Linked DNA regions of Mus musculus. The protein of the gene in region 3 purifies or fractionates together with the protein of the main gene of each other region. This does not show direct contact. Links are inferred from orthologs where the notes say so. Each region holds a gene or a part of one and is shown on either strand. Other genes may lie near its edges. The genes, in order: Dnm2, Bin3 and Dnmbp.

Region 1 (3,641 bases), on a different chromosome or scaffold from region 3:
GGGGTTCCTGTGTGCTGGGGTCTACCCAGAGAAGGAAAAGGTGAGGGGTTCCTATGTGCTGGGGTCTACCCAGAGAAGGACCAGGTGAGGGGGTTCCTGCGTGCTGGGGTCTACCCAGAGAAGGAAAAGGTGAGGGGGTTCCTGCGCGCTGGGGTCTACCCAGAGAAGGACCAGGTGAGGGGTTCCTGTGTGCTGGGGTCTACCCAGAGAAGGAAAAGGTGAGGGGTTCCTGTGTGCTGGGGTCTACCCAGAGAAGGACCAGGTGAGGGGGTTCCTGTGTGCTGGGGTCTACCCAGAGAAGGAAAAGGTGAGGGGTTCCTGTGTGCTGGGGTCTACCCAGAGAAGGAAAAGGTGAGGGGTTCCTGCGTGCTGGGGTCTACCCAGAGAAGGACCAGGTGAGGGGGTTCCTGTGTGCTGGGGTCTACCCAGAGAAGGACCAGGTGAGGGGTTCCTGTGTGCTGGGGTCTACCCAGAGAAGGACCAGGTGAAGTGTTCCTGTATGCTGGGGTCTACCCAGAGAAGGACCAGGTGAGGGGGTTCCTGCGCGCTGGGGTCTACCCAGAGAAGGAAAAGGTGAAGGGACACCTTCCCTGCTGACCCTGCATGGAGGAAGGGACCCGTGATTTCTAGGCCAAGCGTGTCAAGTCAGCTTTTCTTTGCTATGGAGATGGCTTAGGTGATAGCATGAGGCCTGAATGTTAGCCCTAGAACTCAGTCAGGAGCTATGTGTGGTGGTGCACACTGGGGCTCAGGAGCCAGCCAGCCATAGCACAGCAGAGATCTCCAGGTCCTAGTGAGAGGCCCCGACTCAAAAGTCAATCTAAAAGAACACTAATAACAAGCCAGACACAGCAGATAGCGTATGTGCCTATAGTTGTTGCAGAGTCTGGCAAAGTGGACACACTTGGGGTGAAAAGGGGAGTATGGATCCCTAACGCCCACTTACCAGACAGCCTAGAAAAACCTACAAACTCCAGATTCAGTGAGAGTCCCTGTCTCAAAATGTATTGTGTTTTGTTTTTAGGGTGTGTCTCTGACTAGCCTATAGTTTAGTCTGTAGACCAGGCTGGCCTTAAACTCAGATCTATCTGCTCCTGCCTCCTGAATGCTACAAGGCCTGGGATACAATGTAATAACAGGTCCTGGTATGTTGATGCACACCTTTAATCCCATTTCAAGACCAGCTTTGACTCTATAGTGAGCTCTAGGATAGCCAGGACTATGTAGAACCTGTCATTCATTCATAGACAGACAGACAGACAGACAGACAGACAGACAGACAGACAGAGTAAACATAAAAGTTCTGAGGCACTGAGTTGGGATAGACTACATGCACACAATGTGTAAGGGTGATATGCACATAAGGTACATACATGAAACACAAGTGAATAAATACCTGCTACACACCAAGGGAAAGAAATGTTCAGTTTGGCTCCCAATGTTAGAGGGCTCAGTCCATGGCTGCATGGTCCCATGTGTATAGGCTGTCTCATGGCAGTGGTATTGAGGTGCGGAAGCGAGAAGCAGAGGGGAAGGCATGAAAGGGCTGGGGCCAAGGTATCCCTGGGGATACACACCTAGTGGCCTACTTCCCCCAGCCTGAAGTTTTCAGAGCTTCACAAGTAACAGTAGTATGGTTCTAAAAGGACGGCTTTGCAGACAGAAGCCATGGCTACTCCTCAAAGGATCCAAGTTCAGTCCCCACCACCCACATGACAGTTGACAGCTGTCTGTGGCCTCTGGACACCTGCACACACACACTGCATATACACATACCATACCAATGTACACATAAAAATCAGAAGTACAGTACTGTCAGCTGAGACTCAAGGGACCAACACCTGAGCCCTAGGGACATCCCATATTCAAACCATAGCAGCATACTTCAGACCTCAGAGGGCACCAAGCTGGTACCCACTGAGTCAAGCGAAGCGGAGGAGGCATGGGTTGTCATCAGGGTCCAGAAGTTCTCCAGAAGGGGTTCTCCATGGTGAGGACGGCAAGAGCACTTAGGGTTCATCCACCTTGTTGTCTTTTCCCTCTTGTCCTTGGGGTGAAGTCACTACAGACCCTGGCCATCCAAAGGGAGGCTGTGTTCTCATCCCCCGGCTCTAACCAGTGTTACCCCAGTGCAGACTACAAGGTCTACCAGGGCCATCTGGAACACACTCAGGTGGGGCATTTGTCAGCAGGGTAGGCCCAGCACAGTGAACCATCCCCCTCTGTGTCCTCTGCAGGCAGAGAATGAGGATGGAGCACAAGAGAACACCTTCTCCATGGACCCGCAGCTGGAGCGACAGGTGGAGACCATCCGTAACCTGGTGGACTCCTACGTGGCCATCATCAACAAGTCCATCCGTGACCTTATGCCAAAGACCATCATGCACCTCATGATCAACAACGTGAGTGACAGCTTCCAAGTCACCAAAGATCCTAGCCGCATGCCAGTCAGCCCAGCACCAGCAGGTGGAAGCAGGAGAGTCACAAGTCCACCATCCTCTCAGATACTCAGCCGGTGTAGGGGGCTTTCACTGTGAGACCTTGTCTCAGCAATGACAACTGGGGAAGACGGGGGGAGGGGTGGGGGGTCAGAAGGTAAAGGCGCGCGTGCACGTGCACACACACACACAGTCAATACATACTGTTAACTTAAAAGCAAACCTAATTTTAAAAAGCTGTGCAAAGTTAGAACAAGTTGGTTTGTTTAGTAGCTTTTTGGGGTTTTGGTGTGTTGGTTGGTTGGGTGGGTGGGTGGGTGGGTGGTTGGTGTGTAGGTTGGTTGGTTGGTGTGTTGGTGGGCTGCTTGGTGTGTTGGTGGGCTGCTTGGTGTGTTGGTGGGTTGCTTGGTGTGTTGGTGGGTTGCTTGGTGTGTTGGTGGGTTGCTTGGTTGGTTTGGTTGGTTGGTTTTTGTGGTATTGGAGATTGAACCCAAGGCATGGTGATTCTTAGGCAAGCACTGAATGACTGAGCACCTCAGCTCCTTCCCTGGGAGATTCTAGGCAGAAGCTTTACAGCTAAACTTGACTCTCACTCAGTCTGTGATGGATGCTTTCCCAATCTCAACAGGCTTCTGAGTTATTGGCTAATATAGGGGTCTGACCTTTCCTTCCCACCACTGTCCTCAGACAAAGGCCTTCATCCACCATGAGCTGCTGGCTTACCTGTATTCATCAGCAGACCAGAGCAGCCTCATGGAAGAGTCAGCCGAGCAGGCTCAGCGGCGGGACGACATGCTGCGCATGTACCACGCACTGAAGGAGGCCCTCAACATTATTGGGGACATCAGCACCAGCACCGTGTCCACACCCGTGCCCCCACCGGTCGATGACACGTGGCTCCAAAACACCAGCGGCCACAGGTCTGGACAGCAGTTTGTCCCCCAATGTGCATATACAAGTTCAAGCCCCACCCTTCCTATTCCTTCTGTCCCATTAGGAAATAGTTCACAGCTGAAGTTTGGAAAGGGACAAGAGTCTTAAGTGAATGGCACAACACCTGTTCTGCTTAAAGCCACAGGGGAGCCATGGCTTCCAGGTGCCAACCTGAGCTAGATCTCTGGAGGAGAAAACCGCACACCCCAATTCTCCACCAACTCTTGCATCTTCTAGTGCTTTCTCCGTGGGTCCAAGTAGAAAGCAAAA
Region 2 (4,095 bases), on a different chromosome or scaffold from region 3:
CATGCTCTCTGCCTCAGCTGTTTGTCAAGGATTCTGGGTCTTCTATTCTCTTCAAGACCACTCCTTTGCTCCTGCTTACTTATTTCCTGAAGAAATAGCATGGTGATGGTCTGTGACATGTCTTGAGGGAGCCACCTCCTATTGGAAAGCCTTTTTAAAACTAAAAGCCATCCCTTGTTCCTCCTCCTCTGAGCCCCTGGGCCCTGGGAATTTGGGACACGTTGTATATACCTCTGCTCTAGGTCATAGGGACTTAGCTGCTCCCCTGGCTGTGCCTACAACCCTCCAGGTACATTTGAAGAAAGCGAAGTCCTAGAGAGGTCAGGAGAGAGGATTGGAACGGTTCTCTCTGCTTGAGTTTCTGGCTTCTAAAGCAGGAACTTGGGCAGAGAAACTCGGTTCAGCGTATAACTCTAGGTAGTTTGTGGTACACTGGGGCTCTGAATTCTGAGGCCCAATGCAAGCTGTTTGCTTAGATCTTATTCTTCTAAAACCCCATGCACAGCTCCAGGGGCCCCTAACAGCCTGTCCAGCAACTTGTTAGGATTTTTCCTAACATTGCCGAGGCCTTCTACTCCTGTTGTTGTTGTTTTGTTTGCTAGGCTTTGGTGTATTGTTTTCTCTTAAGACTGGATTGATTGTGAAGCCCAGATGGGCCATGTTGTCAACATTAGCCTCGAACTCATGACCTCTCCCTGCCTCAACCTCCAGAATTCGGGGATTGCAGATACCTGTCTGTCATCACACCGGGCTTTCTGAATCTTCCCTCATTGAATAGCTTCACAGACTAGTCCACCCTGAAAAGCACTTAACTCTGTTTCCATTCGAACCCCGAACCTTCTTGAAGAGGGGGGAGGGGACCCAGGTGATGTAGGTGAGACATGCAACATTTTCAATACGAAAGTGTGTAGAGCAAAGCGCAAGCTTCCCGTCTACTGTGTCTCCTCTAGCTCCTTCCCCTGTCGCCGCTTGTGTCTCCGAGTTAGAAACCCCATATCAGACAGAAACTGCAGCCCGTGATGGGTTCTACGCACAGAGCCTTAAAAGCAGGGCCGGAGCGCAACCACGTCCCGCAAAGAAAGTCCGCCTCAAACAACAAGAGAACAAAGTGTTAACGCGTGGGCCCGCCTCCCTCCCGCCTCTTCCGGGCATAAGGGGGCGTGTCCCTCATCACTTCCTGGAGACTGGCCGAATCCGGAAGTGATCCTCGAGAACCTACTTTTCTACCGAGGACCCCGGCAGTCGGCGTGGGTTTAGGACCATGAGCTGGTGAGTGAGGCCGGGTGGCGTCGGCTGGAGCCAGGGCGGCCCGACAGCCCTGCTCCTAAGCGGTTCCGGGAGCCTCCTCGGTGCTCTCCCGGAGGCTCCATCTCTCGGCCAGACTCCCGAGGAGGATCCCTTAGCCTTGGACCCGCGTCTGATCCCTGTTGCCTGCCCTTTCTCCCATCGCATTTCCTTTCACCTCCTTGGCGTGAGGAGTCCCTCTTCCCTCTTCTCTCAGCTATCCATTGAGGTGGAGTCAGTGTCCTCCTTCGCTCCCGTGGGCATCTCTACACCGCGCTTATCTGCTCCGGAGCTGTGTTGCTCATTGAGGCAGACTAGGCACAGTTCTGTGACCAAAATCCAGCTGCTTTCAGACAACTGGAATAACATCACCTAACAGTGCCTCAAAAGACGAAATTCTTTTTAAAAATGTAAAAGTTGATTCTCACATGGGAAGGATCAGAATTGCACCACACACACACACACACACACACACACACACACACACATTTAATGTGTGATTGGACTGTTTGAATCTTTCCAGGGCTGTGACCCCACTGCCCTCTCTCTAAGATAGACATAGCTTAAACTTTATGGGGATCGTCAAACCAAGGAGCCATAGAGCTGGAATGTCACAGCTGCAGATGGGGGTGGGGGGAGCTCACGGTGGATACTTCCTGTTTGTGATTAGCCTAATGTGGAAGGTCCTCTTTCCCCAAAAGCTGGTCCTTAATTGTTGCTCTGGGGTTTTTGTTTTTGTTTTTACGTGCAGATGAAAAGTCATAAATTTTCTGTCTTCCTAGGGCTTCTTTAAAGGCTGTCAATGTCTTTACCATTAGGCCCAAGAGCCTGTGTGTCCATGGTCCCCACTCAAACTCCTAACTGTTTACAATGCATTTGTATGAATAAATTGGCCTCCAAGGAAGTATGAGATTAATCAGCCCTCTTTAGATCCCAAGGTGCATTAATGTAGGGGGCTGGACTTGCTCAGAGCCCAGTCTGTTATGCAAAATAAGTGCATGATAATCAGCTATGAATGAATGAAATTAGCTAGACACCCTCTGAGAAGGCTTTCACACTTGACCACCAGTGGAGACCAAGCTTTCGCCACAAGCAGCTAATGTCAGTCAATGTCAAGGATAGCTTTCTAATGTACAGTGTAAACCACTTCTGCCCCTTCCTCCACCTGCTTCTCAGACTGAGGTTAATTGGTGGACAAATGTCAGACAGCTGGAGAAGCAGGGAACAGAACACACACACACACACACACACACACACACCCGCGAAGCTCTAATAAGCCTCAGCAGGAGATACTCATTTCCCCTCAACCTCTTCCTCCAAGAGGCCCACAGAAAGCTGGAACCCCTAAAAGCTAACTTCCCCATCTTGTTACAGCTTAGCTAGTGACAGGTCAAGGGGCACTTCCTCAGTTCCCTTTGCTAAAGGGAAATCTCCTGAAGCAGAGTCGTTTCTTTTAAGCATCAGTCTGTGTACCTCCAGCTTCATGATGCTAGAAGTCATCTTGGTTTATGCACCTTGAATCTTTGAATCTCTCTTGCCTAATTTTTAAAAATAAAAAAGAAAGTATAGGTGCTTTCCGTTTAGACTGACATTTCTATTTTAAAAAAAAAAAATAGAATAAGTGGAACAGAGGCCACTAGAGGTGTTGGTTCTCTGAATGGGCTCCTCCTCCTCTTCCTCCTCCTCTTCTTCCTTCTCCTCCTCTTCCTCCTCCTTTTCTTGAAAACTAGCATTTTTTTTTCCAAACCATTTTCCAACAAAGCCCATCAGGTTGGAGAGACTTGGAATTGGCAGCCACTAACAGGGCTGAGGTTGTCATGAACTACTTGGCCAGTACAAGCACATCTTAGTGCCTCTTTGGACGGAGGGTCACAACCAAAAGCATGGCTTTGTCCCTGAAGGAAGAGATCCATTTCTCTTCCTGCTTCGAGGGCTTCTACGTCATCTCTTGCGTGGACCCTGACCCTCTCTCCCAGAGAGGGGACCAACGCCCGTGCCTGGGCACACAATCGCACTCAGTTCCTAGCTCAATGGCTGGCAGGGGAACGAGAGTTGGGTCCTTCTGACTCACTCGCAGCGTGGTTTTTCTGCTCCCAGAATGAATCCATCCATTCATCTGAGATTGGAATTTTCACTAGGGGAAGAGACCAGAGTGACGTAGAGCCATCATGGGAGGCTGATGCCCAAGGTCAAGTTCACCAAGTACATGGACTAGGCCAAGCCTAGTTAAATAAGGCCTGAGGCTGCTGTGGTCCGTGGTGCCCAAAGGGTATCCATTGTTCTGGACTAGGCTGTCCTTTCAAAATGTCACAGTGAGAAATGTCCAATATTGATGCCCTTTGCACACTGTGGACTTTGCAGGAAGAGTAAGAGGTCTTTGTTTGTTTCTTTCACTGTGCAGGCAGCCTGCATAACCCCTGTTTATTTAGTGAGTACCTGCACTACCACCACCCACCTACCCATTAGCCTTCCAGCAAGGCAACTCAGTGGTCTGCCCGATTTGGAAGGAAGCATTGGATATTTGCCTCTCAGAGCACTAGTCCACCTCTTGGCCCCAAATCACACGCTCCCCACTTTGTCCTCACCCCTGCTCCACCTGTTTCTGCATAACTGTGTATTCAGTGCAGTATGTTGTGAAAATGAACTACAACTAAAGGTAATTGCCGGGCATGGTGGTACACACCTTTAATTCTAGCACCAGGGATTAAGGCCAAACTGGTCTACAAAGTAACTTCTAGACCAATCAGAGATACACAGTGAGACCTTGTATCAAAACCAAAGAAGAACAGTGACTTTAATCTCGGCTGTCTC
Region 3 (4,412 bases):
ACAAAGCCAAAGATGAAATAATTCATTTTAGTTACCCTGTGGCTGCTTCTCTCTCTCTCTCTCTCTCTCTCTCTCTCTCTCTCTCTCTCTCTCTCTCTAAGACAAGATCTCACTATGTAACCTTGGCTGGCCTCAAACTCACAGAAATCCACCTGAGTTTAAAGAATTAAAGTCCTGAGTCACCACACACCGCACCAGGCAGTATGGCTTTCTTTTCTTTTCTTTTCTTTTCTTTTCTTTTCTTTTCTTTTCTTTTCTTTTCTTTCCTTTCCTTTCCTTTCCTTTCCTTTCCTTTCCTTTCCTTTCCTTTTCTTTCCTTTTCTTTTCTTTTCTTTTCTTTTTCTTTCTTTTTTTTTTTTTTTTTTTGGTTTTTCGAGACAGAGTTTCTCTGTAGCCCTGGCTGTCCTGGAACTCACTTTGTAGACCAGGCAGGCCTCAAACTCAGAAATCCGCAAGCGCCGGATTAAAGGCGTGCGCCACCACGCCCAGCTATGGCTTTCTTTTTAACACCAAGGATAAAGCAGCTAAGTTAGCACCCAGTATATAAAATAGTTCTTTCATGGGGGATGGGGGATTTGGGATGGGGGTGGTGTGGTTATCGCTGGGATCCTGCTCTCCAGGTGAGAAGCTATCTCATAATGAACTCCCAAAAGCAAGACTGAGTTATTTAGTCTTGAAAATTAGTTTATTGAGATGCTTTCACGGCTGGGTATAATAATAATAAAAAATTACACATTCACTGACATGGAACTTTTGAGGAGTGAATGAGTCTCAAGAGTGTTTTATTAACAACAACAACAGCAGCATTGCTTGAGAGCCTCATAGGATCCTGAAATAGTAGCAAAGTCACAGGCAATATGCTAACTGATTTGTGTTTTGTCCCATAGTCGGGGAAAAAAAAAACTGGAAAAATAAGCCAAGCTTTGTAACTGCTGGTAGGCAGCAAGCCTTTGCTTGTAAACGGTTTGAATCACTTTTAAAAGTGTGCCTTCCCACCCTGCCCAACTTAAGACTAAGCAATCTGTAGCTTAAAATACGACTCTGCATTTATTTTAGCCCTGTACAGAGCAAAGTGACCCAGAAGGCTGGGAACGGTGATGAACTTGAAGCGCTGGAAGGCAGCATGCTGAAAAAACGCTTCCTTCTAAGGCACAGGGAAAGAGCTCTGCTCTGGAAACACCGAGATAAACATTCAGAACAGAGTCTGCTCGACCCTGACCCTTCGGCAGGGGTAGAGCATCCTGTGGTACAGCAAGCTCAGTGGGGCAAGGCCCCGCCCTGCCACGTGGGTGAAGGAGGAATGTGAAGAGGGTCTCACAGGCTAAGGGGATGCTCGGAGCTCGGTGCCAGAAAAGAGGGGGTGAAGAGGTTAGGAGGCCCTACTTTGTGGGTTAAAGGACAAATAGTTCATACATATTTGAACAGCATCTATAAAGATTACTATCACGCGCCAGCCCAAACCATACACAATGTGATAAAAGTTAGCTTAAAAGTTAGCACAGTTTGAGTCAAAATGTTCTTGGCTTGTTGGAAAAACTACCTGTGACAACATGCAAGTCACTCCCATGCCAGACTTAGCACTTCCCCACTACACACCAAGATCTCTGTCTAGACAAGCCATTGGGTGACATTAACACAGAAACATGAATGACACACACACACACACAACAGGTTTCACTCATTTCAACCCAATATTATGTGAGTGGGGGAGCGGGGAGCGACAGTGAAGTTGAACATCTGCTACATAATTTGTAAAATTAACTTTGTTTTCCTAGGACTTTGTTGTCACCAGGAGGGATCGGCTTCAAATACAAATGAAAGACTTTAGCGGTGGAAGGGCCTGAGAGATCACGAGATTCAGTAGTTTAGGGGGAATGAGGCCCGATGGATACACTAACTTGAACACTACACCTCGACTATGCTTTTCCTACGACTGTTTTATAAATGCAGCCCTAACTGAGAAATCAGGTCTGCTTGCTGCAAAAATCGCCTGTTGATTAGTCAGCTCTATCAGCGGCATGTAACTCGACTAAGCACAGTGGAGTCCAAACTATGCTCCTACCAGAGAATCGGTGTCATCACTAGCTTGTCACCATTATTAATTAGGAAGTTCCACAAGGTGCTCCCAAGACTATAAAAGAAACACTGTCAGACAGGTTACAGAATTTGCCAGCCATAATCCCACATGCGACCTTGCTTTTCAAGTTGGTTTTTCAACACGACCCTGTGCCCTAAAAACACCCTTCGCAGCTCTTAATACACACCACATGCTGTCCTGTCCGGTCACCCCAACACCCCTTTATTCGAGTGACAACCATCCTCCTCTGACACAAGCATGCAATCGTCCTGGGTACCTAAAAACTCCAGTAAGCCAAAACTGCATCTCCAGCTAAATATAAATAGTCCCGGGTTATTTGGGAAACCATCGCTGCCTGGCTGTCACGAAATCCCGGCCTCTCATGCCCACCAGCTGCAGCAGTGACCAGGAGCAGGACTGGGGCTCAGTTCTTCAACTCAAAGCCAAGAGGCAGGGCGGCGCAGTGACAGCGCCCCGGCTGGACACCTCGCCCCCCGGTCCGCGCCCCGGGACGGTCCCTAGGGCTGCTGCCCCCCCCCCCCTGCACCCCCTCGGCCGTGAGTGAAGACAGCGAGGGCCTCGCGTCTCGCGGAGCGCAGCTCAGCGCGACCGAGAGCTGCGCCGCAAGCCCCGCGCGCCCCGCAGGCGACCGTCCCCGCTACCCCACCACCCCGCCACCCCACGGACGCCCGGCCCCGCACCGACCTGCTCTCTGCCGCTCGGCGTTCCCTCCGCGCACAGCCACTGGTGGCCCGGCCGGGCCGCGGTCACCTCCCCTCAGCGGCGGCGGGCGGGCGGGCCGATCCGGGTGACTCCGCGCCGCCCCGCCTCCCTTAGCGCCGCTTCCGTCCGGTGGCCCCCGGCTCCGTTTCCCGCGCTCGCGCCCCCTGGCGGCCGCCTAGCCCGTCGCTCCGCCACGTCAGGGCTCGGGCTCCCAGGGCCTTTCAGGGAAACTGAGGCACGGACTGCGTGGGGGCGTTTAGCGACACACCTCGCTCAGGCTAGGATCCAGATCCCCACGCACTCGCGCTACCGCCAACCTAGAGAACTCAAATTCTCCGCTGCGCGAATTCTCTTACTCCGAGGCGGAGGCTAGCCTTGAACCTTCCATCGTCCTTCACTCCTCCAAGTGCTGGATTACAGGGGAACACCATCAGGTTACTGCCCACTCCTCATCGATTTTTTTTTCTTTTCTCCCGAGCAAAGTCTCACAGGACAATTTTGAGAATTTAAAAGCAAGGAATCACAGAATACTAGAACCAAACGTCCCGGTTTCTGAAAAGTCCCGGAAGACTTCTGACTGTTAAAGATCGCAAGTGCGTGGAGGAGCTGGTGCAAGCGCGGGGACCGACCTAGCAGATTTGAGGAATGCAGGAATCATATATCACTATGCACACACAGCAGAGATAAGGCTTTATTTTAAAATCTCATCAGCTAGATTGTTTCTTGACTCTTCAAAAATCGTAGTAAACTAGACATAGCATAAAGTGTATCGTTTGAACCATTGTCAAGTGTGCGTGCAGTCCATCAGAGTAGGTAAATTCACATTGCTACGCATCCATCATCTTGTCCGGCACCGGGACCCCAACTTCCCAAACTGAAACTGCTCTTATCGTACAGGGACTCCACTCCCAGCGATTCCTAGTCTCTCGTGTCCTTAAGAATTCGTCTACTCTGAAGACCCTCATACATGCAATCTACAATACTTGGCCTTTTGGTGCCTGCCTTATTTTGGTTAGAATAATGCCCTAAGTTTCATCTGTGCTGTTCTATGTGTCGGAATTTCCTTCCTTTTTACTGCTAAATATACTGCGTTGTGTTTAGGCGTTTGTCCTTCACTGGGCATTCGGCGGAGTTTCCCCTTTGGCTACTGTGGCTAAGGCTAGGACCCAAATCGTACACGTATCTGCTGGACCCATTGCTTCCAGTTCTTTGGAGGCTGTACCTAGGGGTGAAACTGCTGCTCACATACATTATTCTCCTCCTTTGCTGTCTGAACACTGAAGGAAGGCATTTTTGTGGTAAAACATAAATATTCCAGATTTTTGTTTTTGAAAGAAATTGATCAAATGCTTCAGCGGCCTGTCAAACAGTAAGCTTTTCTCCCCCTTTCAAGTAAAATGACAATCTACTACCTAGATAATGGTATTATTATCTTTCTTTCTTACTTACTTTCTCTTTTGAGACAGAGTCTCCTCTCTCTTATGTGGCTTTGACTGTCCTAAACCTTGCTGTGTAGACCAGGCTGGTCTCAAACCCCCAGCGATCCATTTGCCTCTGCCTCCACCTCCAGGTGCTGGGGGAAAGGTGAGCACTGCCACACCCTGGCGCTAAT

Evidence for each region.
Region 1: the proteins of Dnmbp (region 3) and Dnm2 purify together in Homo sapiens (co-immunoprecipitation; 3 studies listed by BioGRID and IntAct, with this or other methods). This does not show direct contact. The link is inferred for Mus musculus from reciprocal best matches to the Homo sapiens genes DNMBP and DNM2.
Region 2: the proteins of Dnmbp (region 3) and Bin3 purify together in Homo sapiens (co-immunoprecipitation; 5 studies listed by BioGRID and IntAct, counting the BioPlex papers as one, with this or other methods). This does not show direct contact. The link is inferred for Mus musculus from reciprocal best matches to the Homo sapiens genes DNMBP and BIN3.

Annotation. Positions count from the first base shown.
Region 1 is NC_000075.6:21,501,305-21,504,945, forward strand, and holds part of Dnm2 (dynamin-2), read left to right. Parts: intron 1-2,237; coding exon 2,238-2,402; intron 2,403-3,125; coding exon 3,126-3,358; intron 3,359-3,641. UniProt on the Homo sapiens protein: Catalyzes the hydrolysis of GTP and utilizes this energy to mediate vesicle scission at plasma membrane during endocytosis and filament remodeling at many actin structures during organization of the actin cytoskeleton.
Region 2 is NC_000080.6:70,098,928-70,103,022, forward strand, and holds the start of Bin3 (bridging integrator 3), read left to right. Parts: upstream 1-1,165; 5' UTR 1,166-1,261; coding exon 1,262-1,269; intron 1,270-4,095. UniProt on the Homo sapiens protein: Involved in cytokinesis and septation where it has a role in the localization of F-actin.
Region 3 is NC_000085.6:43,937,335-43,941,746, forward strand, and holds the start of Dnmbp (dynamin-binding protein), read right to left. Parts: upstream 2,865-4,412; 5' UTR 2,783-2,864; intron 1-2,782. UniProt on the Homo sapiens protein: Plays a critical role as a guanine nucleotide exchange factor (GEF) for CDC42 in several intracellular processes associated with the actin and microtubule cytoskeleton.